4 linked regions of the Notamacropus eugenii genome follow. The protein of the gene in region 4 purifies or fractionates together with the protein of the main gene of each other region. This does not show direct contact. Links are inferred from orthologs where the notes say so. Each region holds a gene or a part of one and is shown on either strand. Other genes may lie near its edges. The genes, in order: CSGALNACT2, SLC30A6, METTL9 and SLC30A5.

Region 1 (7,548 bases), on a different chromosome or scaffold from region 4:
ACTTCTTGTCCCTCTTTTAAGCAGAAATTCTGCCCCTCAGGACAGCTATAACCTAATCACTATCCAGGCACCTACAACACCAGTTCCACAAGTACCACTGGAAAACCATCACCCACTCTCTTTTCTCCAGATCACTATACAGCAGCTGTGATGGATTCTCTGCTTCAAGGACAGGCTCTGAGTTCTAGGCACTGGCTGGTAGGAGCCCTGTCCTTCCCCCTTTACGATTTAGGTGTGAAAGCCAGAGTCTCATAGGACAAACAGGCATGGACAGACAGGTTGTGATCTACATCTCAGGCTTCAGTAGTTCTCTTTCCCCACAACTCGAATCTTCTTCCAAACTTTCCTATTTCTATCAAGGACACCAACATCCTTTTTTTCATTCAGGTTTGCAATATAAGAATTCTCTTCAACTCCTCACTCTCTCTAACCCCAACTATCCACTCAGTTGTCAAATCTTGTCATTCTACTGGCACATCTCTTCCTCCCTACATACAGCCATCACATCAGTTCAAGCCCTCATCACCTCATATTTGATTATTGCAACAGTGTAGTAATAGCTGTATGTTATGGCAGTACAGGTATGTGAGATGTGTCTGTGTGTACACATGCGCACATGTATGTGTGTACTGTACATATATATGTACGTATATGTGTGTATATGTCTGTGTGAATGTATGGGACAGCTAGGGGGCACAGTGGATAGAGTGTTGGGCCTGACATCAGAAGACTCATCTTCCTGAGTTCAAATCACTTAAACCTATTTGCCTCCAGTTCCTCATCTGTACGATGAACTGGAGAAGGAAATGACAAACCACTCCAGTATCTCTACCAAGAAAATCCCAAATGGGTTCACAAAGAGTCCGACGAGACTGGAAAATGACTCAAGCACAAAAATATTATACACACATGCACATACGCTGGGGTTGCAAACTCAATTCTTTTTTAACTAACAGAAGTATGCAATCCAAAGTTTGGAGATCCCAGTTTTACACAACTTTGAGCTAGGACTGGATTAGGAAATGAGACCATTCTTATTCATCATTATTAACATTCTCTAAGCCACAAATAAATAATGGAAAGCAACCCTCAGAAGGACCTTCAAGTCACAATCCACTATTTTAATTAAGAACTAAAAACAAAGCACAAAATAAATGACTGAGATTAACAGACTATCATATACACCCTCACATTTTACTTCGTGTAGAAAAATTAACTTTCCTCTTCACATTCTGAGCTATTATCTTTAATGATGCGCTACAAGGAAAACATGACTGAAAATGGAATTCATCTTGGTACACAAGAAGTAAGACAAAGCCACCGTAAGTTCTCAGAAAGTTAAAATGTACATTGCACAATTCTTTTAAATTCGGTCTGTAATAATCAATATGAAATCAAACTTTAAAATACTAACAGATGCTTAATCAAGATACTCTATCATCACCTAAATTTAAACAGCTTCCTTCACAAGAAGGACCTGTGATTTTCTAGACAGGCAGTTCTAACAACCACAACAACAAAATAACATTTGCACCAGCAATTTAAGGTTTTTAAAGCTATTTGTTTACCACAGTAACAACCTAGTGAGGAAGTGAAAAAAACCAGAGACGACTTGTAATAAGAATATACAAGATTTGGCAACTTGAATGGATTATCCCCATTTTAAAGAAAAAGAAAACTCTGGCAGAGAGGTGTGAAGTGAATGGCCCAGATAAGAGCTCAATCTACCATGCCACTTACCTGCCTCCATCACTTCAATCTCTCAAAAGACTTACTGAAAGGTCTTCAATATTCGCTGAGGCCATCCTGCAGCAAACCTGGTGATGAACTGCTAAGCGACATCGCTAGCATGATCCTCCAAAGACAAACATTCCATCAACCAGGAGCTACACTCTGGGCAGCATACCAGCTGTAGGAGGACCAATTAGCCAGTCCGTCTCCCAAGAAACCAGGGTCTCCTCTACACCAATCAGAAGGAGGCTCCTCGCTTTGGAGAACCAAGGTCTCCTCCACGATAAGAAGGGCTAAGGCTTTGGAGCAGGACTTAGTTCTGGATCTACACACACAAAAGTCTTCTCTCCTCTCCCCCTGCTAACTTCAACCAGTGTCTTCAACTCTTGAAATAAAAAAAAAAGTGGGGAGCAACTCTCCAAACTCTAAAATAAGCTATTTTTAACTAACTGTTCAGGTAGTTTCTGAGTTGTTTAGAAGAGAATGCAACATTGTATTCAACGAATAGCAAAATGTTGTTCATGGTAGTAACAGTTTATCACCAAATAGCTTGCAAAGTGTAGCAAGGGGAGAGTGTGGGGAGGAAAGCCTAGCGATAGGAAAGAAACAGTAACACTCCAAAAACCACTCCTCCGCTGGCAGCCCCGCTGCTCTCCAGACTCCCAGCCCAGCCCTGCACCCAGGAGCCCAGGCTCTTTCGAAATGACTCCGCAACAGAAATCATCCGGAGGAGGGTGGGCACTGGGGCTTCTAACGGGGGAGAGAGAGAAATAGACAAGGAATGTTTTTCTACTGCAAAAGTAAAATAAAATAGTCTCGAGGCGAGGGCAGAAGCGGTGCCCGGCACGCACGCCCCTAGCCTGGGCTTCAATGGTTCGGGGCAGCCGAGCTCCCGGCACCAGCCCGCAGTCAGTCCGTGCGCGCAGAGCCGGAGCCGGGGCCGGGAGACAGCCGGGAGCCGGAGCCGGGAGCCGGAGCCGGGAGCCGGAGCCGGGAGCCGGAGCCGGAGCCGGGAGCCGGGAGCCGGAGCCGGGAGCCGGGGCCGGAGCCGGGAGCCGGGCTGTCAGCCCGCCGAAGCAGAGCGCGGTACTCACCACAGCCAGCCTAGCGGGAGGAGGCCGAGGACATGCCCCGAGGCAGAGCGGCGGAGCCTGCGGGCGGGCGCGGGGAGCCCTGCTGCAGAGCCCCCGCCGCGGGGCCGGAGGCGCCACTCCCTCCGCCTCCTCCCCCCCACCCTAGCTCCTCGCGCCACCCTCAGCCTCGGCCCCCTCGCCTCCCGGAATAACGGCCACTTCCTGTGTGCGCGAGGAAATGAGGCCGCCGCGCGCCCGCCCGCGCCGCCACCGCCCGGGCCCGGCGTCCTGCGCGCGCTGCCCCCTCCCCCACGCCTACGCCGGCGCCCGGGGAGCCCGGCTCCAGAACAAGGCCCGGAGCCCCGCCGCGCCCACACTCCTCTCCCGCCCCCTGCTGTCAACCGCCCAGTGAGGGGAGGGCAGGGGAGGAGCGGGGGCCCGAGAAAGTGGGGAGGGAGGAGGGAGAAAGGAAGAAAAAGACAGATGAAGGAGAGAGAAGGAAGGAGGAAGGGGAGAGAGAGGAAAAAGAGAGAGCGGGGCAGGAAAGGGAGAGAGATGAAAGTGACCGAAAAGAGGGAGAGAGAAGGGAGGAGGGAGAAAGTAGGTGAAACAGAAGGAGAGGGGGGAGAAAAGGAGTGAGAAAGAAAAAAAGGAGAGGAAGGAGAAAGAGCAAGGAATTACAGACAGGGGAAGGGCGAGGCAAAGCGGGAGTGGGAGAAAAGAGAGAGAGAGAGAGAGAGAGAGAGAGAGAGAGAGAGAGAGAGAAGGCTTGCACTTCACGTCCCAACACTCGGCAGCCCATTCACCATCCCCAACTTCACCGAGAGCGATAAAGACAGGTGGTGAGAAGGGAAAAGTTGGACATTTGTTTGCTAAGTTTATGTCCTCATGGTGGTATATGCACACACACATATATGGATGTATATGTATGGATGTATACATATATAAACTGAAACATATTTCTATCTATCTAATCAGTTGCCCTTTGGGCTCTTTTCTACATAGTCTATCTACCTCCCTTGTAGGTCCTGTAATTTTACCAGGCAGGATTTGACGAGTTGTTTCCTCAGAAGACTTGATCTAAATCGTGCCAGTTCTTGGGGGTCTAGCTCAAGTTCCTAACAACTGGACCGAATTCAGCCTCTAACCTGTGGGTGGCTGGAGCCAAACAGAGCAGGCTTAGAGACAGGAGAGTCAGGACAGAGTGAGGGTTTTGTTTTTTGTTTTGATTTTTTTATCCTCAAGGAGCTTAATTTCAGAGTGAGGAAAATAATGTATGCGTATGGAAGCCCCCTCTCCTAAGAAGCAGGGTTTAACATGCTAGACTAAAGGCAGTTCTCATAGACATCCTGGACTGGACCAGGATATAATAATTTACAGGGTGTGTCAAGCTGTCTGAGGTCACGTTTGAACTCAGATCCTCACAACTCCAAGTCAGTTCTCTATCCATTACACCACCTAACTATTCCTTTAGTCTCTGAAAATTAGACTGGTTTTTAATGTATATAGCGCAAGACTTGTTATTAGGAACACGTAGGTTCAAATCTCACTTTAGACACTAATTGTGTTGTCCTGGAATAATCTATTGACTTTTAGGGCCCTCTAAAGAAATGAAGGTCTTGGACTTGATACCTTCAAGGATTCTTCCAGCTCTAAACCTATGATCATCTGCTATGAGAGATCCTTCCAAGAGTAAAAGGTTTCTTACTACCTAGTCCTGAAAATCAGTGGACTTCTGATCATCTTAAAAAGGGCTGAGTCCATCAGAAAGTAAAAAGTATAAATGATCAACCCTGAAAATGTCTTAATGGTTCTAAGTTTGAAGTGAATGGTATTCATCTTATATCACTTTTCTGATTTTTTTTTAAAGTTTCTATCAGTTGTAGGATTTTGAATGGGGTACTAAAATTTTTCTTGGGACACTAGTCACTGGGCAAAAGATCTTAAAAGGTCTTAAAGTAAGATGAAACCCATGAACAAGGCACGAATTAAAGAAGTAATACCTTTGTTGTGAGAAAAGCCAATAGGAATCCACACATCATTCATTATTCACTATATGTACCCTTCCTGCAGTGATTTAGAGAATGTTTCCTAGTAAATTTATGGAGGTTTCCCTACATGTCATTAGGAAATAGCCAAACTCTAATCATTGAAAAATTATCTTCCAGTATAAATGCAAAACAAATTAAGAAGAGAGACTGTGCAATGACCAGTCCAAGCAGAAAGATTGTATTTCTCATAGAGGCTACAAAAAGGAGAATGGGAATGCACATTTAGTGCCCATCAAGTTCTTCTGCTTAGAATTCAATGGACTACCTTACCTTTTCAGCTTTAGATATTACCCTCGAGGTACTCTACACTCCAGCCAAGCTGGACTACTCTGTGCCCCTGGAACAGTGTTCCTTTCTGTTATTCACTCTGTTCCCTGTCATTATAATGCCCATCTCCCCTATGAAATTACTGTGAAAATCCTACCCAAAATTTTAAAACTCAAGTCAAATGTCACCTTTTCCAGGAAAACTACTGAAACCTGCAAAAAATAATTCCTCTAAAATTGCACATATTACTTTTTTTGTTACTCTCTAATGCACTTTGGTGATATTGAGTATTAAAGCTATAATGTTCCTATCTTCCTGTAAATCCCTTGAGGACAAAGACCATTTCTTCCCCTTAAGGGCAGGGATTGTATGACATATATAGTAGGGCCTTAATAACTGTTATGTTTGGTCTTTCTTGTAATTCATCAGGTTCCCTTCTTAGCTTGATGGAAATATTCCTTAGTAAGAGTCAATTCCCTTTGCCCTAATTCTGTGTTCTCCAAGTAACCTTCTAATCTAAGATTTGGTCTCCTTAGTGGGGCTTAATCAGTCAACATGGAGAGCTGCTTAGCAAGATCCTAACCTGGGTGTGTGTGTGTGTGTGTGTGTGTGTGTGTGTGTGTGTGTCTGTGAGTGTGTGTCTGTGTCTGTGTGTCTATGTCTGTGTGTGTGTCTGTGTGTGTGTCTTTTCTGCATGAATAAATGGGCATTCTGGTTTAATAGTTGATCTCTCACAACTTTACTTGACATGATTTAACTGTCTAAAGTTTGATCACCTTCTGCTGAACTGATAAAATATGTTTTCTGAATCTGTAAAGCTGAGGAACAAACTCAGGGGCATGGTGACCTCATGGAAGTATAGCATTGTCTGAAAGAACTAATCTATCAACAGAATTCATGGCAACGTTGAAACCTGTTTCCTTGGCAAGATTTGGTAAATGGGGAAGAGTAGGGAGAAGGGGCTGGGGGAAACCATAGCTAAAATTTAGAGCAGTTAGTTTCTTTAGGAAGTTGAAACAAAAGAGCACAATATTTACTAATATATGTGTATATGTGTTTATATATACATATGTGTATATACATGTATATGAATTTAAGTTGCATTTTACATAAAAGAAACACATCAGTCAGTCATATAACATTTCCATAAGCAAATCCACTAACAGTAGAAACAAAGTCATGGGGTTGGCTACACTCAGCCACTGTTGACAAATCTAATTCTTCTTCCAGTTTCTATTAATAAAATTCTCTTCTAGGCTGTGCTTGCCAACAATGAACAATTTTTAATGATTCGTAGATCAGTAAACCATGATCTGACCTGAGGGCAAGTAATCAGTACACAAAATTGAAGGACAGATCCAAACTTTACTCTAATGACTCTCTCATTCATCCAAGTGAAATTGTTAGACTAACTGCCCTTTTTTGCTTCTTGGGTCATTGGTTAATTATAATTTAATAAGAACAGTGAGACTAATTTTCATCTTGTAGAAGTCAAATGGGATAAGATCTTTCCATTGAATAAAATTTAAGAAGTTAGACTGCTTTAATTTTTAAGGATTTTAAAAATCTAACTTCTTAATATACTATATAGAATTCCAGTCTTATGAAAATATTGTTTTATTTCCCTTCTGTTTTGAAGTTTCTTATTTTTTCTTTTAACCAATTAGCTTCTGCACTAGCCTGAATTTTCTTTGCTCTTATTATTACCCATTTTTTCCTTTCACTCCCCTCCTTTCTTACCACAAAATGTAACATGCCAAATGCCTTTTTACTTAAGTAACATGACATGAAATCAGAGCACCAAGGTTACTTTTCTTTGCTTTTAGACTAGCAATGGTCTTAGCTCAGTCATAAAACTCGCTACTTAATCATTTTCTGTCTTTTTAGCTTTTCCCATGATTAAAACATACATATGCTATATATATGTCTGTGTTAATATATACATATTCAACATATAACAACTTAACGAGACACCATGCTATTTTCTTAAAATGTCTATCTGGGAAAGAAGAACATATACAAATCAAGTGGTATAGCAGTTACTGGGTTAACTTCATACTATTTATGTAGCAGCTACTTACTACTTCCCCACACTTCATTTTCTTCATCTTTTACATGGTGGTGAGGGCTGTTTGGGTCTCAGTTTACTTATTCCTAAAATGACTCTATGACTAGATCATCTTTAAGGAAACTTCCCCACTCTAAACTTTACAATCCCGTGAACTCATGGTATAGAAAGAAAAATAAATATCTTAGAGAAACTGACCAGCTACACAAGTACACTTTTTAAGTCATTATATTGCATCAAGAAATGTTTTTTTTTTCCTTTGGAGCAGAACAATTATAACTCTTCTTTCTGCAGGGTCATTTCTACAAAAGCAACAATGTTGTAAAAATACATAGCCAGGATGAGTTAAAAACTGGGA
Region 2 (7,482 bases), on a different chromosome or scaffold from region 4:
CATTTACAATTTATCACTGTACAGCACTGGTGTTACTGTGAACAATTTTCTCCTGGTTCTGCTCACTTCACTTTGCAACAGTTTAAGTCTTTCCAGGTTTTTCTGAAAACAGACTGCTCGTTTCTTTTTTTTTTAAATTTCTTTTCCAATTACATGTAAATGTAGTTTTCAATTTCTGTAAAATTTTGAGTTCCAAATTTTTTCTACCCTCCCTCCCCTACTCCCCTCCCCAAGAGGACATGCAATCCAATATAGTTTATACATGTACAATCATGTTAAACATATTTCCACATTAGTCATGTTGTGAAAGAACAAAAGAGAAAAACCATGAGAAAGAAAAAAAGTGAAAGTAGTATGTTTCAATCTGCGTTCAGACTTCATAGTTCTTTCTCTGGATGTAGTTAGCATTTTCCAACATCCAACAAGGATTCCAACATGGATCATCGTATTGCTGAGAAGAGATAGGTCTATCATAGCCAATCACTGTACAATGTTGCTATTGTTGTGTACAATGTTCTCCTGGTTCTGCTCATTTCACTCAGCATCAGTTCATGTAAGCCTTTCTAGCTTTTTCTGAAATCTGCCTGTTCATCATTTCTTATAGCGCAATAGTATTCCATTACATCCACATATGACAACTTGTTCAACTATTCTCCAATTGATGGGCATCCCCTCAATGTCCAATTCTTTGCCACTACAAAAAGAGCTGCTATACATATTTTTTGTACAAATAGGTCATTTCTCATTTTTCTGGATTTCTTTGGAATACAGACCTAGTAGTGGTATTGCTGGGTCAAAGGGTATTAAATTTAAAATTCTAACTTGGCTACCACAATCGGCCACTTTACTGATACACTCCAATTAAAGAGTTGCCCAAATGCAACATGGAGCGGAGGCATGGAGCTGACAAAAGATTAGAAATCTTGAAACAAAGCTGAGAGACTCTCCTCCATTCAATTAATTCAGTTCAATTTCACAAATATTTACTGAATACCTATGTGCTAGGTACTGTGCTAAATACAAAAGGGATACAAGGACAAAACCAAACAGTTCTCGCCCTTAAGTTTTACTGGGCAAAACAAGTATGTAAAAGTAGAAATCAGTTATTCAATCACCTAGCATTTGTTGAGTACCTATCACGTGCCAGATACCATGTTAAACTCTGGGGATACAAAGAAGGGGGAAGAAAACTCAAGCAGACGTAATCTTCAAGGGAGCAAGCTTCCATGTATTTGTCATTCTGGGTTCCAGTTCTCCCAGAGGGTACCTAGAAACTTTTTAGCATTATACAGATTTAGGATTGGAAGGGACCTTAGAAGCCATTAGATTCAGCCTTTCATTCACAAGTGGGAAAAAGGAGGCACTGAAAATGACTCACCTAGTCACAACCAGAGACTGAAGATAGATGTGAATACAGTTCTTCCTTATTCCAAGTTCATTGTCCTGAATTTCTTCAAGACTCAGCTCAAACACCCTTGAGCCTTTTCTCTGATTATCTCCAGTTAACTATCTATATATTGCCAAAATGGGCAGCTAAGTGGATAGAGAGCCAGCCCTGGGAGTCATGAAGTTATCTTTCTGAGTTCAAGTCTGGCTCGCTGTGTGAACCTTAGTTTCCTCATTGGTAAAATGATCTAGAGAAGGTAATGGCAAAAAACTTCAGTATCGTTGCCAAGAAAACTCCAAATAGGGTTACAAAGAGTTGGGCACAAAAGAAAAGACTGAAATACTGGCAAAAACAAACAGTCCCTGCTCTTGGGCCTTCACCTTCAATTTATTACCTATGTCTGTCTATTCCTCTATCTGCTAAAACAAAAAAGCCCCTGCTCTCAAGCTCACCTTCTAGTGGTGTAGACAACGCACAAACAAGTGTGTGTGTAAATGGGCAGCTAGGTAGTAAGGCGAATACAGTGCCAGGCCTGAAATCTGGAAGACTCCTCTCCTGAATGAAAATCCCACCTCAGACCCTGAGTAACCGTGTGACCCTGGGCAAGTCACAGCCCTGTTTGCTTCAGTTTCCTCATGTGTAATACGGACTGGAGAAGGAATTGGTAAATCGTTCTAGTATCTTTGCCAAGAAAACCCTAAACGGGGTCAGGAAGAGTCGGACACAACCGAAAAGAGAATAGCACTTGCGTGTGCTGTCTCTCCATCATATAACATATATGGCAAACAGGCACACGCATTCTATGAACAAACATGTTCTATCTGTGTGCGGTGCTCAGCAGGTGAGCTTGGGGGCAGGGAGTCCTCGCTTTTGGCCTTTCTTTGCATCCACAGCACCCCAGGACCCGGGACTTGGCAGGCACTTTGTAAAAGCCTCGTGGCTCTTCCTCCCTAGTCATCTCTGGCAATTCACTGGATACGGAGAGATGAATCCTAAGTTTCCGCTGGTATTCCTCTGTGATGTGGAGCACTTAAGCCGGGCACGCGTAAACGCTTGTCTACGCTCTCCTCGTTAGCCGCACTGCTTATTCTGAGAACTTTGCGCCAATGTCCCGGACCGCTCATGCCCTCCGGGGCGGCTCTTGGGCTAGTTATTTTTATATTAAGAGAAAACCAGAGTGGAGCCCCAGGCACCTGTGGGCAGACCAGGGCACTCGGCAGCCACAGGCGCGGGACGTCGACTCCAGCCCGGCGGGCGACCGCAGCTGCGCCCGGGCCGGTGAAGGGAGGGGCCACGGAAGCCTATCCCAGAGCAGCCCGGGACGCAGCAGGCCCGGAGAGACGGCAAGAGAAAGCTGGGCGCGGGGGGAGGGACCTTCCAGGAAGCGGCTGCCGCCTCGCTTCCGGAGAGACAGACGACTGAAGACAGCCGAAATGCCCCCGCCCCGCCTCGCCGGGGCCGCTGTACCGGACAGCGGCCGTTCCGAGCGAGCGCCAGACACCCCACGTCCCGGGCCCCGGCCCGCGGCCCACGGCCCACTCACCATGTTAAGGGGCCCCGCAGCTCCCGCCGCCGGAAGTCGTTCTGCCGCTGGCGGGCAGCGCCCCCCCGCCTCCCTCCGAGAGGAAGGGGCGGAACAAACGCGGGTGATTGGCCGAGGTAGAGGAATCCGGAAGTGAGGAGAGGCTAGATGTCGTAGGGAGCTACCAGGGTGAGAGGGTCGTTGTGGTGAAGTTGTTTGGGAAGCTCTTTAGGCCGAAGAGAGGGAGCTCCTTTCTCATACTCCTGATTACCCAGGGGGCCGAGCGTGCCCGCAGGCTGCTGTGAGGAGCGGACACTTCCCTCGCGCTCTTAGCCTGGAAGTGACTTTCAGGCAGGCTCATTGCCGCGGTTGCAGAAACCATTCAGTGGCAAAGCGGGATTCCCGTTCGTGGTAGACTTTCCCGAAGGCTTTTGGAGATGTCTGTACACGTGTCTTGGGGTGGACTTCTCTGAAAGCTTTGTGTGTGGGGGGAGGGGGGGGGTCTCTGGGTCCTCGTCCGAAGGCTTTCGGGAGAAGTAGCTTATGGTAGGCTTGTCTGAAGGCTTTTGGGGGGAATGCCTGTGTGTGTCTGAGGCTTTTTGGTTGGCATTGCGTTTCCAAGGGAGGAAACTCTCTCCACTCTGTAGGTATGACACCTGCTCTGTGATGTATAATCTCAGGCTGGGTAGCTGGGTGGTGCAGTGGATAGAGCACCAGTGCAGGAGTCAGGAGGACCTGAGTTCAAATCTCACCTCGCACACTTGACACTCACTAGCTGTGTGACCTTGGGCAAGTCACTTAACCTCAAGTGCCTCATCCTGGGTCATCTCCAGTCATCCTGATGAATATCTGGTCACTGAATTCAGATGGCTCTGGAGGAGAAGTGAGGATGGTGACCTGCACAGCCCTACCTCACTGAAAAATAAAAGTCAAGTGCAAGTCACGTCATTTCTCTGATGGCATGGTCTTCTTCGGCAACGAAGGACGAACACATGTAATGTCAAGTGACTTATTATAAGGTCTGTGATTCCCCCACCTAGGGAATTCTGCATCTCCCTCCCCAACTGTGAGAAAAGTTCTAAGCAACCACTTCCATCTTTACCAGCACAGGGCATCTTCTTCTTACTGCCAGTCCAATCCCCTAACTGGGATATGGAAAACCCCCAATTCAAAGAACAACATTCCCCTCAGCTTCAGGCCTCCCATCTCTCCTTGCACCTGTCATTTGAGGGTAGAGGAGTGGTACTCTCCACAACGATGAACATTCTCACACCTGATCATACCCTTCACATCCTGGTAACTTGGAATTCCTGTAGATCGATATCCAAACTGAACTCCACATCCCCTACCACCCAATTCCTTATTTCCATTTCCCTTAACCCTTTTACACCAAAGTTTCATCCTAACCTCACCCTGCACTTCCCCTGTGCTCTCTGGAATGTCTGTTTTGTAGGCATTAAACTTCCTTCATCCTAAATCTTTTCCTCTCCCACTTCTTGCACCTACTAGCTATTATTGAAACCTTCAGTTCAGTCATTTTTCAGTCATGTCTGACTTCATGACTCCATGGGGGTTTTCTTAGCAAAGATACTGGAGTGGTTTGCCATGTCCTTCTTCAGCCCATTTGACAGATGAGACAAGCAGGGTTAAGTGACTTGCCCAGGGGCACACAGCTAGTAAATATTTGGGGCCAGAATTTAATTCAGGAAGACGAGTCTTCCTGACTCCAGGTCTGGCACTGTCTCTACTGTGCCACCTACCTGCCCCAGGATGTTGTTTTACCTGAAACCTGGCTCCCCGCCAAGGACGCAGCCTCCCTGTCCACTTTTTCCAGTAACAGCTGCATCTACACTTATTCTTCTCTGTTCACTGTTAAAGCTTGCTTTTACCTTCACATCATCTCTCATATATGTTGTTTTCACTCACAACCACAATTCTGACTCAAACCTTTGTATCTGCTACCTTGCCTGATTTCAACTCCATGGAACAAGATGCCCCCCATGCTAGGTATCTCCTGGTATTCCCTCCCACCCCCAAATCCTGGCTTTCCTGCCTCTTTTTGTATGATCTATCTTCTTTTATATTATAAGCTCCTTGAGGGCAAGGACTGCTTCCTTTTAGAGTCCTTAGATCTACTGAAGGCTCAGTTCAAGTGACCGTACCTACTCAGGCCTTTCTAGATAGTAAACATTTATTAAACACCTACTGTGTGAACCACGCATTGTGCTAAGCCCTAGAGAGACAAATATGAAAAAAAATGGCCCTGCTCTCAAGGAGTTTACAATCTAATAGGGGAAGAAAACAGATAAAAGAAGGAAAAAGGGGGTAGGCTTGGAGATGGGGAAGGTACCCTGTAGGCAGGGCATAGTGGAAAAGTAAAAAAAAATCCAGAATGAGTACATCAGGGCAGGAAATGTCTTTCCTGTGCCTCCTCCTTAAATAGAGATTAAGAAGTTCATAGTTTCTCCCACTGCTACAAATTACTTCCCCTTCTTCCTTGCCAAATGGCTTGTATATATTTTCTATTTATCTTTGTATTTGTGGTGAGAGAGAATGTTAGTACCTCTTAGTGGGGACTAATTTCGTTTTTGCCTATGTAATCCCAGCACCTGGCACATAGTCTGTGTAAAGTAGATACTTAAGGTGCATAGCTATTTTTTTTGCCTGTGTTGTTATCTACTAACACAAAAACTCCTTGAGGTCAGAGAATATCCCTTAATGTTTTGTCTGTCAGCTCCTAGCAAACTGGAGATGTTTTAAGAAATATTTGTTGAATAAATAAATACAACTTTATCAGGCTTTACAATAATTAAAGGTTTATTTGTTTATTTACTTTTTGTTAAAGCCAGGACCACCAGACCTTGCCCTCTCTCCGCCTTACTGTTGTACCCTGTGGACCACTCGACCTTTCCATTGGCCTTGCAAGACCCTCTTATATGTTTTATTTCACCCATTATTAGAATGTGAGCCTCTTGAGAATTCTAGTGAAGGTGAAGGGACTTTGTTTCTCCAGTTACTATTTATTTCTAGCCCTCATCTCTTGTATTCCAACAGCCTGCTAGAACATCTCCACCCAGATATTTCATAGGCTTCACAAACTAAACAGAACTCATATCAATCACTAAGCACATCTCTTCTTCAAATTTCCCTGTTTCTTTCATGGGCACTGCAATTGTTTCAGTCATCTAGTTTTGCAACACAATGTTATCCCTAGCTTTTTACATTCGTGCAACCCTCACGTTCAGTTGCCAAATCTTTCTGATTTTCCCTTCACAGTATCTCTTATTTTTGCCCTACTTTGGCCATCCACAAAAAACTCTAACCCAGTTGAGAGCTCCATCACCTCTCATTTACCACAGCAATGGCATCCAAAATTTTCTTTCTGCTTTCAGGACTTCCTCTTCTCTAATCTATCCTCCACACTCCTACTTAAAAATCTTCAATGGTTTCTTATTGCTTCCAGGATCAAATACAAAATCCTTAGCCTGGTGCTTAAAACCCTTCTCAGCTGCTTCCATCTATCCTTCCAGTCTTATTTCACATTACTCCCCTTTACACATTTTCCACTCTAGGTACACCAACTTGCTGGCTGTTGGGAAGATGAGACATTGCCCTCTCTAGCCCCTGTGCCTTGGCACAAATAGTCCTATGTATCAGGAATTCACTACCTTTTAAAAAAAAAAAAAAACAAACCTGTTTCAAAGAATCCCTAGCTCCCTTTAAAACACAAGACCTTTTCCTCATTGTGCACTGTCTGCCTTGCCTCCTTAACCCCTTCACCACTAGTACTCTCTTCCTCTCGAAATTACTGAGTAAATAAATAACTGTTCTATCTGAAAAAGTTACTTTGTATTTACTTCTGAACATGTTGTATTCACTTAATTCTGCCATCATCACCATCTCCATAGCATAAGCTCCTTAAAGGTAAAGAATGTTGTTCTTTTATGATCCAGGCCAATAAATTTGAATTGGAGACCAGCCTGAATATACATTATTCTTTGGCCAGGAGAGGATAGTGTCGCATTATAGCTAAAAAGCCTCTCCTGATCTGCAAATGGACTAAGCCTTAAGACACCCAGATGTTTAGGGCAGTCATAATTTCAGTGGTTTTGAATACTGTCAAGGAAAAATACACTAATATTCAAAGAAGGCATCAGTCTAAGAGTCCAGTCAGTTATTACTAATTACAGTTTCAGTGGAAAGAGATGGATTCAAATTCCCTATTGTCTTTATTTCAGGATCTTGCTTTTATTTCCCCCAAAGACTATATAAAGAAGATGTAAACATAAAATCATGCTTATTTTGGAATAAAAAAAAGATCCATGAAAAATTTCCATTTTTATTACATTGCTATAAAAGCACAATGGATGAGAAACCATTGACAAGGCAAAAAATAATTTGAAGATGGTATTACCTCTCATACTTTAAATGTTTTCTAAGTCTAGTCAAAAATATCAACAATGACTATTCCATGCTTTCAGGTTTTTTATTAAGATATAGTTAAGAATGAATGAATGGGAGAAAAAATTAAGTGTATATTAATTGCAAAGTACTGTGCTCTAAACACTAGTGA
Region 3 (8,019 bases), on a different chromosome or scaffold from region 4:
CACAATTATTACAAGTGTTATTATAAACATGCCAAGCCTAAGAGATTCATCCACAACTACCTAGTGCTAAGGCACTATCACTTGTCTGTCATTTCTATTTCATAATTCTCTACCTTATTCATGCTTCCAGAGCAGTCATCCATATAGTACTTAACAGTTTTACTGTAGTCAGTAGACCATCCTTTTTAAGAAAAAAAGGTCAATCACTACCAATAATTATAGTTTTGCAATTTAAGAAGTACCTATCCTAACTTTTCCTGCCTATGGTAATCACCTAACAATGAAAATGGGATAACCAGGACTTAAAAAGAGAATTCATCTTTAAAAAAATAATAATCATTACAAATACTTGATAAATCAAATATTAGAAGTCAAAGATGCACATCTTTCTCTGGAGAGCTGCTTCATCAGTCAGGGACCACAATCTACTTTTTCACAAAATTCTTTTATGTGTTTCAGTGAGGAAAATAAAATTGTACCCGGGTACAAATGCCTTTAATAAAAATTATTTACACTCCTTCCCTGATATGACAAGGAAGGACAAGATAGTAAATTACAACACCATAAAACAACGATGTCTTATTACACTGGCAACTTTTTTTAACAGACAAAAAGATGTCTACCTAATACTTATCAATAATATCTCTGGAAGGGTTCTAAGGGCTCTTTTTAAAATAGGTGCAATGTTAACTTCTCCCCACCATATAGGCAAATCTTAAAGACTTCAGTTCCATTCACCAGTCGGTGTCAGCCAGTAAGAGGTCATACTGAACACAAATCTGAAAAACGCACTTGAGAGTTCTTTTAAGAGGCCTCATTTCCATAACTTCGCCTTTCTCCCTCTCACAATGCCTCTGGCGAACACGTATACTGAAGTTTAAACGAGTTCTCATTTTTCCAGAGGAGACTGCATTGTCTCAAGCCCTTTACACGTATTTCAGAACACACACGGTCCGAAAGCGTTCCCAGAGTAAGTGCTGCGTTCTGTGGCTCACGCTGGACTGCTGAAGTTTCTTGAAACCCCGCAGTCTTCAGCCCCTCAGGAATCACACCCCAAACCACACTACGGGAATACGACAAGGACAGCGGCCTGGACAGGGGAGGCTCCAGCGCCCCGGCCCTTAGTTCCAATCTTACAACCTGAGAGGGGAGGCCGCGCTTGGGAATACCTGGGTCCCCAAAGTGAACGGGGGGCGAAGCCCTCACAGTAAACATACCACCTACTCCCTCCTTCCAGCCTCGGAACCACAGAGGGGGGAAGGGACGGCAGCGCGGGCAGTGCTGGGCTGAGTGGGAGTGGGGCAGGGCGGAGGGGGGCCAAGCCGAGATAAGGACGAGAGGAGAGGGGGTGGCAGAAGGGAAGAAAAGGCCATTTTTCTTCTGCGCAGGCCAACGTCTCCAGCCAGCCAAACACCCACTTTCTTCCTTAACAAAAGGTCCCCTCCCAGCAGGGGGCCTGGGGCTAGTACTGAGGGTTTGGGTCCGGGCATTAAGAGTTTGGGGAGGGGGAGGGGTCTGTGTGTACCTACGTGTACGGAGGGCGCCGCAAGTGGGGGACGTCCGAGTTAGGGGGGGACAGAGAGGGTGTGTGTCTGCGTGTGCGCGAGGAGGGAAATGGGGGGGCCGATCCGAATTTTGGGAAGGGGAGCAGTGTGTGTGCACAGGAGGGTGCTGCCAGGGGTCCAAGTTTTGGGGGGATGGGAGGATAACCGCTCCGAGGAAGGGCGGGGGAAGGCGGCCGGTATCCCGTGGGAAGTCTGGAGTCGGCTCGTCAAACTTTCTGGGGAGGGGGAGAGCGGCGGCGGGGGCAGGGCCCGCCCCTTCCTCGGTCCGGCGGCGGGGGGCGGGGTTGAACTTGACCGGGTGCCCCCACCCCCGGCCCTCACAATGGCTGCGCCCCCTCCCCTCCCTCCCCCGGTCCCCTCCCCCGGTTCCCGCCCGGGCACACGCACCACCCCCCCCGACAGCCGCCCGGGGGTCGCGGGGCGCCCCTCCCCACCTGGTGGTTGTCCTTCCGGCCGCCCGCGGCGCCTGGCTCTCCGGGGCCGCCGCTCATCATGTTCATGTAGAGGGAGCGGGCGAGGGGACTCCGCAGGGACCGGCCGGTGCCCGTCCACATCCTCCTCGCCAGCCACAGCGAGACCAGGGTGAAGCCCAGCCAGCCCAGGAACAGTCTCATGGGGGGCCGCGGGGCGGCGGGGTCGGGGTAGCTCCGCGGCTCAGCCCCGCCGGGAAGGAGGCGAGAAGGAGGCGCCGCCGCCGCTGCTGCTGCTGCTGCCGCTGCCGCCGTCGCTGTCGCTGCCCCCGCCGCCGCTGCCGCCCGCCGCGGCCACTCTCTCCATCGCGCCCAACTTACCCATCCAGCCCCTCCGAGGCTCCGGCGGGGGGTGGGGAGAAGCGGCCGGCGAACACCCCAGCCCGCCTCTCCCTCCCCTTCTTCTCCCCTCCCCTCAGTCCTCCCCCACACCCCTGCCCCTCTTCCTTCTTTCGGCGGAACGCCGTTTCCGGCAGTGGCGGTTTCCGCCCGGAGCGCGTTTCTAGGGGCACACCGTGGCTCCCCAGTCGTGGTTACTGGATTCGTTTGGTCTCCGGCTCGAAGCCGGACGCGGACGCAGTGCGCGCACCGGAAGCGCCTCCTCAACCAATCAGCTCGCGCGGGCTCGCGCACGGAGGCCGCGGGAGCGCGCTTGCTTGCCCAGCGGGGCCCCTCTTAGCCCCACGCTAAACCCTTTCGGGCCCATTGTGTAGTGGCTGCGGAGGAAGGAAAGGCAGGCGCACGGCCCGGCACAGTGGGCCCTAGCGGGCGTTAGGCGCGCTGTCGGCTCCCGAAGGCACGGTAGTACTCAAGCCCTTTTCACTTCTTCCTCTGCCCCTCAGAAACCGGGGCAGGGGCCGGGGCGGACCGCCCCCACTTCCGCCTGCGCGGCCCATGCCGGCCGGGGCTTTAGGCGGGGGTCTGTCCCGCGGACAGCGCTGTCCAACTTGCCCTTTTCTCGTTCATCTGTCCTAGGGGTAGTCGCCTGCTTCCACTCTTTGCTCCTTGGTCTTCGCAGGCAGGTGCCAGACAAACCAAAGCTTTCACCCTCTCCCCTCGCAGAGCTCCCTGAGGTTGGCACTGGGGTCTAGGGTTGGCACAAGGGGCGACCGCCCTCACCCGTCTCTTCCACCGCGTTTCAAGGAGGCTGCCTAGGGCTTGCGAACGATGGCTTCTCCCCGCTTAAAGCCTGAGGGTGCCCTCCAAACTGGGGAACCTCAGGCTGGGTGTTGGAACCCGCCGGGACACTTGAGGGTAAAGACAGGAAGCCGCTTGTCACTTGAACCTACAGACCGTCTTGTGTGCGTGAAAGGGTCCACATCCTTCTTTAATTGTTGTTATTTCCCCAAAGAATCATAAGGTGTTTCTCTCTTTAAGGTCGTCAACCCACCTGTTATAAGTCAGTTGGGAAGGTAGGTAAACCAGCAGATCGAACATCGAGTCTGGAGTCAGGAGGTCTTATCTTACTGAGTTCAGATTTAGCCTCAGACAGTAGCCGTGCAACCCTTAAATCTGCTTGCCTCAGTTTCCCCATCTGTAAAATGAGCTAGAGTAGGAAATGGCAAACCACTGCAGTGTGGGTCATGAAGAGTCAGAAACGACTGAACTGAAAGTGTGTTAGTCACTGTGCTAAGCCAAGGCAAAACAAAAGCACTTTTAAAAGTCCCTGACCTTAAGGAGCTGGTAGTCAGATGGGGTGAAAGGTATTATATAGAAGATCATTTTAGAAGGCACTAGCATTAAATCACTAGTAAAAAGTTCTCTCCACAATAGAGTATCTCTACAATACTACTAAAACCTTTTAAAAACTATTGTTTCAAATAAAAATTTATTTTCCTTTCCTTCCATGTTACCTCCTCTATTGGAGAAAAAAGAAGAAAAAGAAAAACTAAGTCCTTGTGAAAAATACAGGCAAAATGTTCTTGCATTGGCCATGTCCGAAAACATGTCTCATTTTGCCCCTTGATTCCATTATCTTGCTGTGAGCAAGGTATCCCAATTTTAGTAAAGTCTGAAATTTTTCTTTAATAAGAATTCCTTTCCAGGGTTTTTAAAGACCCTATTTGATATTTTGTTATTGTTCAAGTGACCTCTTGGACTTGTCCATGGAGTTTTCCTGGCAAAGATATTAGAGTGGTTTGCCATTTCCTTTTCGAGTGTCTTCCCATTTGGCAGGTGAGAAACTCAGGCAAATAGGGCTTAAGTAACTTACTGAACATCTGTACACAGCTAGTAAATGCCAGATTTGAACTCAGAAAGATGAATCTTCCTGACTTCAGGCCAGGTGCTCTATCCGTTGGGACACCTAACTGCCCTAAAAATTAATATTTAGTTTTAGTTAAAAATACATTTAATCTTAGCTAAAAGTAAATGTAATAGAAGGTCAAGATGTTGGAGGAAAAGGAAGTAGTGAAGCTTAGCTCTCTCTTACAATTATAGGACTTGACGGAATTGGATCGCCTAGAGAGGGGGTCCACTACACTATGAAGTGAAGGGCTTCAGCACATCTATGGAAAGAAAAAAAAGTCTCAGTGCTGGTTGCTTGGAAAAAATAAAGGGGAATAGCACATTGTGGAAGAATCAGCCATTATTTGGAGGAAAGCCCCAGCCCTCAATTCTCCTTATTCTTGGAGCTGGGGATGATTAAAGATTAAAGAAAAACCCCTCTCCCCAAAGATAAGGTGATATCTCAGTTTCTGGGACAAAAGAAAAGGCAGACTGAAGGAAGGATCCTAACTTAGTATTATCCCTTGAGGGAAAGGAGAGTTCAGTCAAAGGCCAAGGAAAGCCTTGGAGGCAAAAGAAAGACCTCTGAGGTAAAAGAAAGGACTTTCCTTAATAAGGTTAATCTAGGACTGGGCTACCTCAAAAAAAGTACCAAGCACATCAATATGAAAAACAAGTAAGCCCACGAAGAAAAAAAGGAAAGAATAATTATGTTTCCTGAAGTGCCTAAGATACAAACCCAGAAAAATAACTCAAAAACACCTATAACCAAAGTCTCAAAGAAAAACACAACTTGCCCACAAAATCAATTAGAATTCCTAGAAGAAATGATTCAAGAGTTTTAAAATGTTATAAATCAAATTAAATCGATAAAGAAAAAAGTGGAAAAGAAATGAAAGCTATGGAAGATTTTGAAAGACAACTACAATTTAACATGAGAGGCATAAAACCCTACTCAAATAACAGACTCCCCTAAAAATTAGAAAGCACCAAATAGAAGTTAATGACTGGGAGATAATAAGCAGTATTGAAAAGATTGAAAAAATAGGAAAAAAATTGAGTTGTCTCATTTCAAAAACAATTGAGTTGGAAAACCAATCAAGGAAAGATAATTTGTAAATCAGTGGGCTACCTGAAAGCTATGACCAAAAATATGATATATTTCAAGAAATCATAAAAGAAAGCTGGCCAAACAGATCAATAAAGCAAAATGATCACTAATCATTTGGAAGATGAAACTCCCAAATGAAAGTTCCCAGTAATGTCATTGTCCAAACCCAGTACTTTCAAGTGAAAGAAAAAAGTGTTGAAAACAGCCAGAAGGAATTCAAGAACGACATTCAGAAGATCACATAAGATTTAGGAGCTATGATTGTAAAGGAGTGAAGAACATGGAATGCAACATTCCAAAAGGCAAAAGATATAGGCCTAAAAACCAAGGATAACTTACCAAGAAAAACTGAATATAAAGCTACAAGGGAAGAAAATGGATCTTCAAAGAAATAGAAATCTTCCAAGAATTCCTGCAGAAAAGACCAGAGCATAGTAGGAACTTTGAAATATGAATACAGGAGTCAAGAGAAACATAAAAAAGTAAACACAAATGGATAATTGGAAGGGATTTTATCTTTTTATATTCTAATGGGGGAGAGTATAATATAAAATTCCTTTCAGGACCTTGGTGTCATCAAGGATGATGGAGTCAAATGAGAGGGCCTAGAGGTAGTTTTCATTATATTTTGACAATTTTGAAAAAATAAAGAAAAGTAGGAAAGGATGCAACAGGGGGAGAAAAGGGAACAAGCTTGAAGAAATTTTTTATCATATAATTGAAATGCTCAGGTAAAAGTTTATACAATGTGGAAGAGGTGTAGGGAAAATGGTGCCGTCTGAACTTCACTTTCATTAGAACTGGTTAAAAAGAGCAGAACACACACAACACAAACAAACATCCACATAAAGGGTTTGGTATAGAAATACATTCAACTCAGCATAGATATGAGAGAGAACAGGAGAAAGGAAAGTTGGGACATAAGAGGGAGCATAGGTTAAAGGACTGATTAATCTTGCAAAACAAATCTAAACTTGGAGAGGGAATAATGACGAGAGAGTGAAAAGGAAAGAAACAAAGGGTAAAAATCTATAATGAAGGGATAGGGAACAAAGAAAAGAAAAAGTTTAAGAGAATAAGAATGGAGGGAAATAAACAACTATCATAATTGTGAATTGTGGGATGAATTCAATTGCAAATTTGAAGAGAAGAACATAATGATTTAAAAAGCAGAAATAACACTTGTTTACAAGAGATATACTTGAAGCATAAGAATTCACACAGAATTAAGAGGCTGAAGCAAAATCTATTATGCTGAAACTAAACTGAAAAAAAGGTGTGACAATTATGACAAAGCAAAAATAGAAAATAACTTTTTGCTGGAATTCAACACTTAAAATATAGACACTAAATGATGTAACATCTAAATACATAAAGGAAAAGCTAATAAAATTATAATAGTGAGATCCTCAATATGCCCATCCCTAGAGCTAAACAAATCTAAAAAATAAAAATATGTTAGAATAGAATTTTAGAAAAGTTAGATATAATAAATATCTGGTGATTATTGAATGAGAACAGAAAAAAAGTTCAAATATTTTCTTAACTGTTCATGACACCTTAACAAAAATCAAATGTGTATTAAAAGATAAACCTAACTACAATGCAGAAAAGCAATAATATTAAATGTGTCCTTTAATAATATTAAGGATTACATATTGTAATAAAAACTAAATTCAATAAAAGGTCATTAGAGTATTAAAAACCAACTGGAGATGAAACAATCCTAAATTATAGGTAGGTCAAAAAACAAAACAGAAACAATAGATAGTTCAATAAAAGATAATGATTTTGGAATGCAATCCTTATAGGAAAATGTATATCTCTTAGCACTATCTTCAACAGAAAAGAGGGGCTTCCAGGTGGAGCAGTGGATAGAGCATTAGTCCTGGAGTCAAGAGGACCTGAGTTCATATTTAGCCTTAGACGCTTATTAGCTGTCAGTGGACAAAATACCCTGATCGCTTTGCCTCCTGAAAAAAGAACAAATAAATGACTTGAGTATCCAACTAAAAGCTCTAGAAAACTAACAAATTTCTTAAAATTAAACACCAAAATGGTGTTTAAGGAATAGATTAACAAAACAAAAGGAAAAAAATCACTAAATGAATAAATAAAATTAAGATCTTTTTTTTGCTTGGGGGGAGAGAACAACAAAATAGCTAAACCATCAGCAAATTTGATGTAAAAAAAAAGGAAAACTAAATTATTAGTATCAAAATGAAAAAGAACAATTCCCAAGAAATGAAGGATATTATTAGAAACCATTTTGTCCAACTATATGTCAGTAAAGCTGACAAAATGAAATAGATGAATACTTATAAAAAATATAAAATAACCTTATCTCAAAGAAAGGGAAGAAAGGAGAGAGAAATAGAATTTGGAGCTCAAAACTTGTTTAAAGTGTTAAAAAATTTGCTTTAGCTGGGGTAAAAATAATAATGTAATGTTACGTTGTAATACATATAACCAAATTAATAGAACAAGAAATAGAGATTTAAGGATTTCAATCTCAAAAAAAAAATTATCAAGCCATAAATCAACTCTGAAGGGGGAAAAAAACTGTGGATCATATAGATTTACAAATGAATTCTATCAAACATTCAAAAAACAATTCTAATATTATACAAACTGTAAAAATAGCACA
Region 4 (7,455 bases):
TGGCAGAGTAGAAAGACAGACCTATAGAAGCTCCCTCACACAGTCCATAAAATACCTGTAAAAAATGACTCTGTAGAGCAGCAGAAACCACAAAATGACAAGTAAAAGAGATTTCCAGTCCAAGACAGCCTGGAAGGCGAAGAGGAAAGGTCTGCTGCACTGGGCACGGAGCAAAGCCCAGGCGGCAGAGACAGGACCCAAAACAGGCTTCAGGGTGTGATTAGCAGCAGCTGCAGTCCCAGATTGCTCAATCCACAAACACCACAGACAGTTTCAAAGGTCAGTGAGAGGGCTCCTTCACCCAGGAGAAGGGAACCATTTACATTCCTGCATGGAAAGATAATATTTGTAACTCCTGAGACTTTTCTCAGTATTTGGGTAGTTGGAGGGATTGTGCGTGCGTGCGCGCACACACACACACACACACACACACCACAGTGTGAGTTGAATAAGAAGGGATGATATCTAAAAAAATAAAGAGGTGAGAGAGGAATGTATTGGGAGGAAAAAGGGAGAAATGGAATGGGGCAAATTATCACTCATAAAAGAGGCAAGAAAAAGTTTTTTCAATGGAGGAGAAAAGGGGGGAGGTGAGAAGGAAAAAGTGAAGCTTACTCTCATCCTGTTTGGCTTAAGGAGGGAATAACACACTCACTAAATATAGTATGAAAATCTTCAGGAAAGTAGGGGAGAAGGGGACAAGTGGGGTGAGGGGGATGATAGAAAGGAGGACAAATGGGAGGAGGGGGGTAATTAGAAGTAAACACTTTTGAGGAGGGACAAGGTCAAAAGAGAATAGAATAAATGGGGGCAGGATAAGATAGGGGGAAATATAGTCAGTCTTACACAACATGAATATTATGGAAGTCTTTTGCAAAACAACACATATATCGCCTATATTGAACTGCTTGCCTTCTCAGTGGGGATGGGTGGGGAGGGAGAAAGGAAGAGAAGTTGGAACTCAAAGTTTTAGGAACAAATGTTGAGAATTGTTTTTGCATACAACTGGGAAATAAGAAATACAGGTAATGAGGTGTAGAAATCTATCTTGCCCTAGAAGAAAAGAGAGAAGATGGGGATAAGAGAAGGGAGGGGTGTGACTGAAGGGAGGGCCTATGGAGGGAAGGGGTAACCAGAATGCAAGGGTTATGGGGGGGAGGGGAGAGATGGGGAGAAAATCTGGAACTCAAAATTTTGTGGAAATGAATGTTGAAAACCCAAAATAAATAAATGTTAAAAAAAAAAAAAAAGAAACAGCAGAAAGAGGAGAAAGGCACATCAATGATCCTCTCTAAACCATCTACAATGTGATGACAAAGATGAGCTGTTCCACCCTCCTCCAAATCCATTCCCCCAGATATCAGAAACCCTTTGCCTGACTCCCACAGTCCCAAGCACAGTGGGAAGGCTGGGAATTCTTCCAACTACGTATGAAGTGAGAATGTAGACAGACCTTAAGAGACCAGGCTTTGCTTGAGGTTTCACAGCAGGATTTCTGAGGGGAACACTGCTGGGGCGCTGGAGGGGAGCTGCACATCCCTCGCTGTCCCACTTCCCATCTCCCTCCCATGTCCCACCTCATCTTCCTCTTCTTTGCTACATTTCTTGGTAAAAACTGCTTTCATTCTTAACGCCCCCATGTCCTCCCAGGGTCACCCTGCCAAACACAACCCTAAGGCTCCGAGCCACCTTCTAATCACGAAATCCCGCCCCCTCTGCCCAGTCCTTGTGGACGCCCACACAATTACCGATACAATGTAACAGCGGCCCTCTGACGTCAGCCCTACTAGACACCCAGGGCCCTCTCCTCTGCTCTCCAGCTTTTCAGCCTCTCCCCAGGCCCCAGTGGTCTCTTGGCAGATGCCCTCGCCCTCAGCATCCCCGTCCTTACCGAATTAAAACGTCAACAAGAGATGATTTAACAGATGTACTGTCAGAACTGCTACGGCCACCTTCACGCCCCAACTTATCCCCCGGAGGGTCCGACACGAGGCAGGGGCTCCTCGGACACACCCCCTCAGGATCTCCGTGCCGGCCCCGGCCGCGCCGGCCCTGGAGAACACAGGCCCGCCTGCAGGCCGCGGGGATGCTGTCAGGGGCGAGCCGCACCAGACCACAGGCACATAACGGACGGCAGGCCAGGCCGGGCCGGCTCCCGGGCCCGGGGGAGGCCCCTCCTCTGAAGGAGGGCAGCCATCCCTTCCAGACCAATTAGGGAATAATTAATCGGAAGTCCACGTAGCCCCGGGGCACGCACGTGCACACACACCTCCCAGCACCGGCTGTGCCCCCAGGACGGGCAGCACTCGGGTTAACGGGAAGGGCCCACGGCCGGGGGAGGGTGGCCAGAAGGCCCCTGAGGGCACTGTTCACGGAGGGAGGCCCCGGAAGTTATTGGCCTCTGCCCCCGCAGGGTCACCGGTGGCGCTTCGCCCCGCAAGGGATCGGGGGAGGACGGGCGTCCCCAGTCACGACCAACCACCGGGGACGGGGCAGAAGGTGAAGGAGTGTAATAAAATAAATACGGTAAATCTGGGCGTGGCGACAGCGGAACCCGGGGCCCCAGCCGGGTCCGAGCGTTTTACAGCCCGGGCCGCCGAGGCAGGGCGCGGACGGGGCGGGGGTTCCCCTCCCGGGGACGCCCAGGCGGCACTTACCGGGCGCTGGGCACGTCCACTGGCCCGAGGCTCCCGCCGCCGGCGAGCGCGTGGCTGCCGTATTTCTCCTCCATCCCGCGCGGGTCTCAGGGGCCGCCGCCGCTGTCGCGGGCCCCGCCGCGGCCAGGCCTCATCTCCCGCCGCCGCCGCCGCCGGGCCGGCCCTTCACTCGCCCATGGCAGTTCGCGGCCTCGCAGGCCCTCCCTGCGCGCCTTCGGAGGCCGGCCTCACTAGGCCGCGAGCCGCGGCTCGGGCTGGGGCTTCCGCTCCCGCTCCGGCTCCGGAGGCGCCGGGTTACCTCGAGGTGGCGGCGGCGTGAACGTTACCAGGCCACGTCATCCGGCCGGGCCGGCGGCCTCCTCCCAGTGCGCCTGCGCCGAGGACTAGCTGCTCCCTACCCGCCCTTCCTCCTTCCCCGACCTTCCCTAACTTCCCCTCCCCCTCCTTGGGAAAGACTCAGAGTTACCGGCCCCGCCCGGCCTCCCTACTTTCCCTTTCTACTCTGGCAAGGGGTCACTGTGAGCTAAGGACCTGGAGAGATGGATGGATGATGGGTGGATGGATGGATGAATGAATGGATGGTGGGTGGATGGATGGATGATGGGTGAATGAATGGATGGTGGATGGATGGATGGTGGATGGATGGATGGTGGGTGGATGGATGGATGGTGGGTGGATGGATGGATGATGGGTGGATGGATGGATGATGGGTGGATGGATGATGGGTGGATGGTGAATGGATGATGGGTGAATGGATGGATGGTGGGTGGACGGATGGATGGATGGATGATGGATGAATGGTGGATGGATGGGTAGATGGATGGATGGTGAGTGGATGGATGATGGGTGGATGGATGGATGGATGATAGATGGATGGATGGTGGATGGGTGGATGGATGATGGGTGGATGAATGGATGGGTGGGTGGATGGATGATGGGTGGATGGATGGATGGATGGATGGATGGATGGATGATGGGTGGATGGGTGGTGGGTAGATGGATGCTGGATGGATGGATGGATGAATGGATGTGGGTGGATCGATGATGGGTGGATAGATGGGTAGATGGATGGATGGTGGGTGGATGGATGATGGGTGGATGGATGGTGGGTGGGTGGATGGATGATGGGTGGATGGATGGATGGTGGGTGGATGGATGATGGGTGGATGAATGGATGGGTGGGTGGATGGATGATGGGTGGGTGGATGGATGATGGGTGGATGGATGATGGGTGGATGAATGGATGGGTGGGTGGATGGATGATGGGTGGATGGATGGATGGATGGATGGATGATGGGTGGATGGGTGGTGGGTAGATGGATGCTGGATGGATGGATGGATGAATGGATGTGGGTGGATCGATGATGGGTGGATAGATGGGGAGATGGATGGATGGTGGGTGGATGGATGATGGGTGGGTGGATGGATGATGGGTGGATGGATGATGGGTGGATGGTGGATGGATGGTGGGTGGATGGATGGATGGTGAGTGGATGGATGGATGATGGGTGGATGGATGGATGGATGGTGGGTGGATGGATGGATGATGGGTGGATGGATGATGGGTGGATAGATGGGTAGATGGATGGATGGTGGGTGGATAGATGGATGGGTGGGTGGATGGATGGTGGGTGGGTGGATGGATGGGTGGGTGGGTGGATGGATGATGGGTGGATGGATGGATGGATGGATGGGTGGGTGGATGGATGGATGGGTGGGTAGATAGATGGATGGTGGGTGGATGGATGGGTGGATGGATGGATGATGGGTGGATGGATGGATGGATGGTGGGTGGATGGATGGATGGTAAATGGATGGATGGATGATGGGTGGATGGATGGATGGATGGTGGGTGGATGGATGGATGGTGAGTGGATGGATGGATGATGGGTGGATGGATGGATGGATGGTGGGTGGATGGATGGATGGATGATGGGTGGATGGATGGATGGATGGTGGGTGGATGGATGGATGGATGATGGGTGGATGGATGGATGATGGGTGGATGGATGGATGGTGGGTGGGTGGATGGATGGATGGTGGGTGGATGGATGGGTAGATGGATGGATGGATGGTGGGTGGATGGATGGATGGATGATGGGTGGATGGATGGATGGATGGTGGGTGGATGGATGGATGGTGAGTGGATGGATGGATGATGGGTGGATGGATGGATGGTGGGTGGATGGATGGATGGATGGATGATGGGTGGATGATAGATAGATGGATGATGACTGTGGAAGAACTGAGCAGAATCATACATCTCTAGTATTTATATGACAATGATGAAGTTGGTAATAATAGTAATAACTCGTATCTCTGTAACATGATAATAATGATGATAGCATTTCTATAATAACAGCATTCCCATAATGATGATGATGATGAGAACTAATATTTCTATAACAGTAATAGCAAACATTTATAAAGTATACTAGCACTGTTCTAAGTGCTTTACGATTCTTATGTCATTTGATCCTCATCACAGCCCTGGGAAGTGGGTGCTGGGACCATCCCCAGTTTACATTTGAGAAAACTGAAGCTGATGGAGATTGACTCCAAGATTGGCTTGGCCCAGAGTCACCCAGCTAGTATTTGAGAGAAGATCCCAGGTCCAGCACTCCAACCACTTTGCTGTCTAATCCAGGCCACAACTAAACAGAGCCTCCCCTCTCTGTTATCCCCAGCTTGGGATGGTGAACTTACTGCTCCACATTTGTACAGTGACTTCTTATCCTCCGTTCCTTGTCCCCCCTCTGTGGAGGAGAAAAATCGAGCTGGATCTTGGAGGAAGTTATGTACATAGAAAGATAGAAGTGATGGAATCCTAATAAAGCTGCTCCCAGCCCCAGTATTCCTTATAGGCCCCACTGAACAAAAGGCCCACTGCCCCTACCTAGCCACTCTCCCCACCGCTCAACATCCTAACTTCCTCATATAGGCCTCACTGCTGGCTAGAACGACAGGTGTGTCCATGAGCTCATAGTTCCCACAGAAACAGCAGGCATCTCCACGTAATGGGGTCCCAGCCACTGCCCCCAGACCCATGCCTCATATTTCCCACAGAAATAGCAGGTGTGTCCATGCACTCAACCACAGCCACATCCATCTAGCCTTAGACAGGATCACAGTATTCAGCCAATTAGAAAGCAGCACTACCAGGATGCCTAAGTAGGATGTAGACCCCAAAATAATAGAAGGGACTTTCCCTAAGTAGGCCCCTGTGCAGTAATAGTAAAGAACTGATCTAGATTGAACTTATGACATAGAGAGGCTTATTATAATACCATTATCATATATACATACCCCCCCAAATGAATTTTTCTGTATGTAGTGTGGGTAATCACATGCATACTTCCACTGTCGCTGGGATCTCTCCCCTATTACCTAATCCCTTAACAAACCCCTCCTGAATTTTTAATATTCATAATTTCTGTTGTGTAATTGCATTTTTACCCTATTAAAATTCATCTTGCTTTCCCTGAAGTTACTGGTTCCTCTGGGAACTTAGCCTGCTTCATGAGAGGCGTCAATCTCAATAAATGCCTGTAGTTGGATTTCAGGTGGTCTCACTCTGAATTCTTTAAGACAGTTCCACCACAACACATAACGAAACCCCAGCAGAGCAGTTCAGGTAAGGAAATTTAAAAAAAACCATGGAGGCAATAATTAATAGATGGGTTCCGGCAATGTAAACATATTGGCGTGGCTGGAATGCAGATAAGATTGAAACTCAGATACTCTCATATCTAAGTGGTGCAAAACTATAAAATAAAGGATTTTTCTCTAACATTAAAAAAATATCTACAGAGCCAAAGGGATTCTCCTGTAAGGAGGTCCCTATGGTCTGGATTTAGGTACTATATGTTATACGGGACTTTGAAGCATTTCTGATGAAAAGACCAGAGCTGAACAGAAAATGTGATCTTCAAATGCAAGGCTCAGTGGAAGAATAAAAAGGTAAATAGGAAAGAGAAAACAAAAGGCATTGAGTAAGGTTAAACTGCTTACATCCCTACAGGGGAAGATACTTTTAACTTTTTTAAAATTTATTTTTTTAAATTTATATTTATTTATTTTTAGTGTTCAGCATTCATTTCCACAAGATTTTGAGTTCCAAATTTTCTCCCCATCTCTCCCCTCCCCCTAACCCAAGACACCCTGATTACCCTTTCCCCAAGTCTTCCTTCCCTTCTATTACACCCCTCCCTTCCCTTATCCCCATCTCCTCTATTTTCTTGTAGGGCAAGATAGATTTCTATACCCCATTACCTATGTTTCTTATTTCCCACTTGTATGTAAAAACAATTTTTAACATTTGTTTTTAAAGAATTCCAACTTCTCTCCCTTCCTTCCTCCTCACCCATCCTCACTGAGAAGACAAGCAATTCAATATAGGTTATACATGTGTAGTTATGCAAAAGACTTCCATAAAAGTCATGTTGTGAAAGACTGACTATATTTCCCTCCATCCCATTCTGCCCCCCATTTATTCTATTCTCTCTTTTGACCTTGTCCCTCCCCAAAAGTGTTTACTTCTAATTACCCCCCTCCTCCCATTTGCCCTCCTTTCTATCATCCCCCACACCCCACTTATCCCCTTCTCCCTCACCTTCCTGTAGTGTAAGAAAGATTTTCATAACAAATTGAGTGTGCCTGTTATTCCCTCCTTAAGCCAAATATGATGAGAGTAAGCTTCACTTTTTCCCTCTCACCTTCCCCCTTTTCCCTTCCATTGAAAAATCTTTTTCTTGCCTCTTTTATGAGAGATAATTTGCCCCATTCCATTTCTCCCTTT

Evidence for each region.
Region 1: the proteins of SLC30A5 (region 4) and CSGALNACT2 purify together in Homo sapiens (co-immunoprecipitation; 3 studies listed by BioGRID and IntAct, counting the BioPlex papers as one, with this or other methods). This does not show direct contact. The link is inferred for Notamacropus eugenii from reciprocal best matches to the Homo sapiens genes SLC30A5 and CSGALNACT2.
Region 2: the proteins of SLC30A5 (region 4) and SLC30A6 purify together in Homo sapiens (co-immunoprecipitation; 5 studies listed by BioGRID and IntAct, with this or other methods). This does not show direct contact. The link is inferred for Notamacropus eugenii from reciprocal best matches to the Homo sapiens genes SLC30A5 and SLC30A6.
Region 3: the proteins of SLC30A5 (region 4) and METTL9 purify together in Homo sapiens (co-immunoprecipitation; 3 studies listed by BioGRID and IntAct, with this or other methods). This does not show direct contact. The link is inferred for Notamacropus eugenii from reciprocal best matches to the Homo sapiens genes SLC30A5 and METTL9.

The regions. Positions count from the first base shown.
Region 1 is NC_092872.1:228,383,649-228,391,196, forward strand, and holds the start of CSGALNACT2 (chondroitin sulfate N-acetylgalactosaminyltransferase 2), read right to left. Parts: upstream 3,015-7,548; 5' UTR 2,826-3,014; intron 1,760-2,825; exon of another isoform or gene 1,741-1,759; intron 1-1,740. UniProt on the Homo sapiens protein: Transfers 1,4-N-acetylgalactosamine (GalNAc) from UDP-GalNAc to the non-reducing end of glucuronic acid (GlcUA). Required for addition of the first GalNAc to the core tetrasaccharide linker and for elongation of chondroitin chains.
Region 2 is NC_092872.1:534,968,422-534,975,903, reverse strand, and holds the start of SLC30A6 (zinc transporter 6), read right to left. Parts: upstream 3,005-7,482; 5' UTR 2,934-3,004; coding exon 2,931-2,933; intron 1,505-2,930; exon of another isoform or gene 1,379-1,504; intron 1-1,378. UniProt on the Homo sapiens protein: Has probably no intrinsic transporter activity but together with SLC30A5 forms a functional zinc ion:proton antiporter heterodimer, mediating zinc entry into the lumen of organelles along the secretory pathway.
Region 3 is NC_092874.1:396,485,695-396,493,713, forward strand, and holds the start of METTL9 (protein-L-histidine N-pros-methyltransferase), read right to left. Parts: upstream 3,017-8,019; 5' UTR 2,180-3,016; coding exon 2,000-2,179; intron 1,766-1,999; exon of another isoform or gene 1,530-1,765; intron 803-1,529; exon of another isoform or gene 735-802; coding exon of another isoform or gene 702-734; intron 1-701. UniProt on the Homo sapiens protein: Protein-histidine N-methyltransferase that specifically catalyzes 1-methylhistidine (pros-methylhistidine) methylation of target proteins.
Region 4 is NC_092875.1:474,546,271-474,553,725, forward strand, and holds the start of SLC30A5 (proton-coupled zinc antiporter SLC30A5), read right to left. Parts: upstream 3,010-7,455; 5' UTR 2,732-3,009; coding exon 2,658-2,731; intron 1-2,657. UniProt on the Homo sapiens protein: Together with SLC30A6 forms a functional proton-coupled zinc ion antiporter mediating zinc entry into the lumen of organelles along the secretory pathway.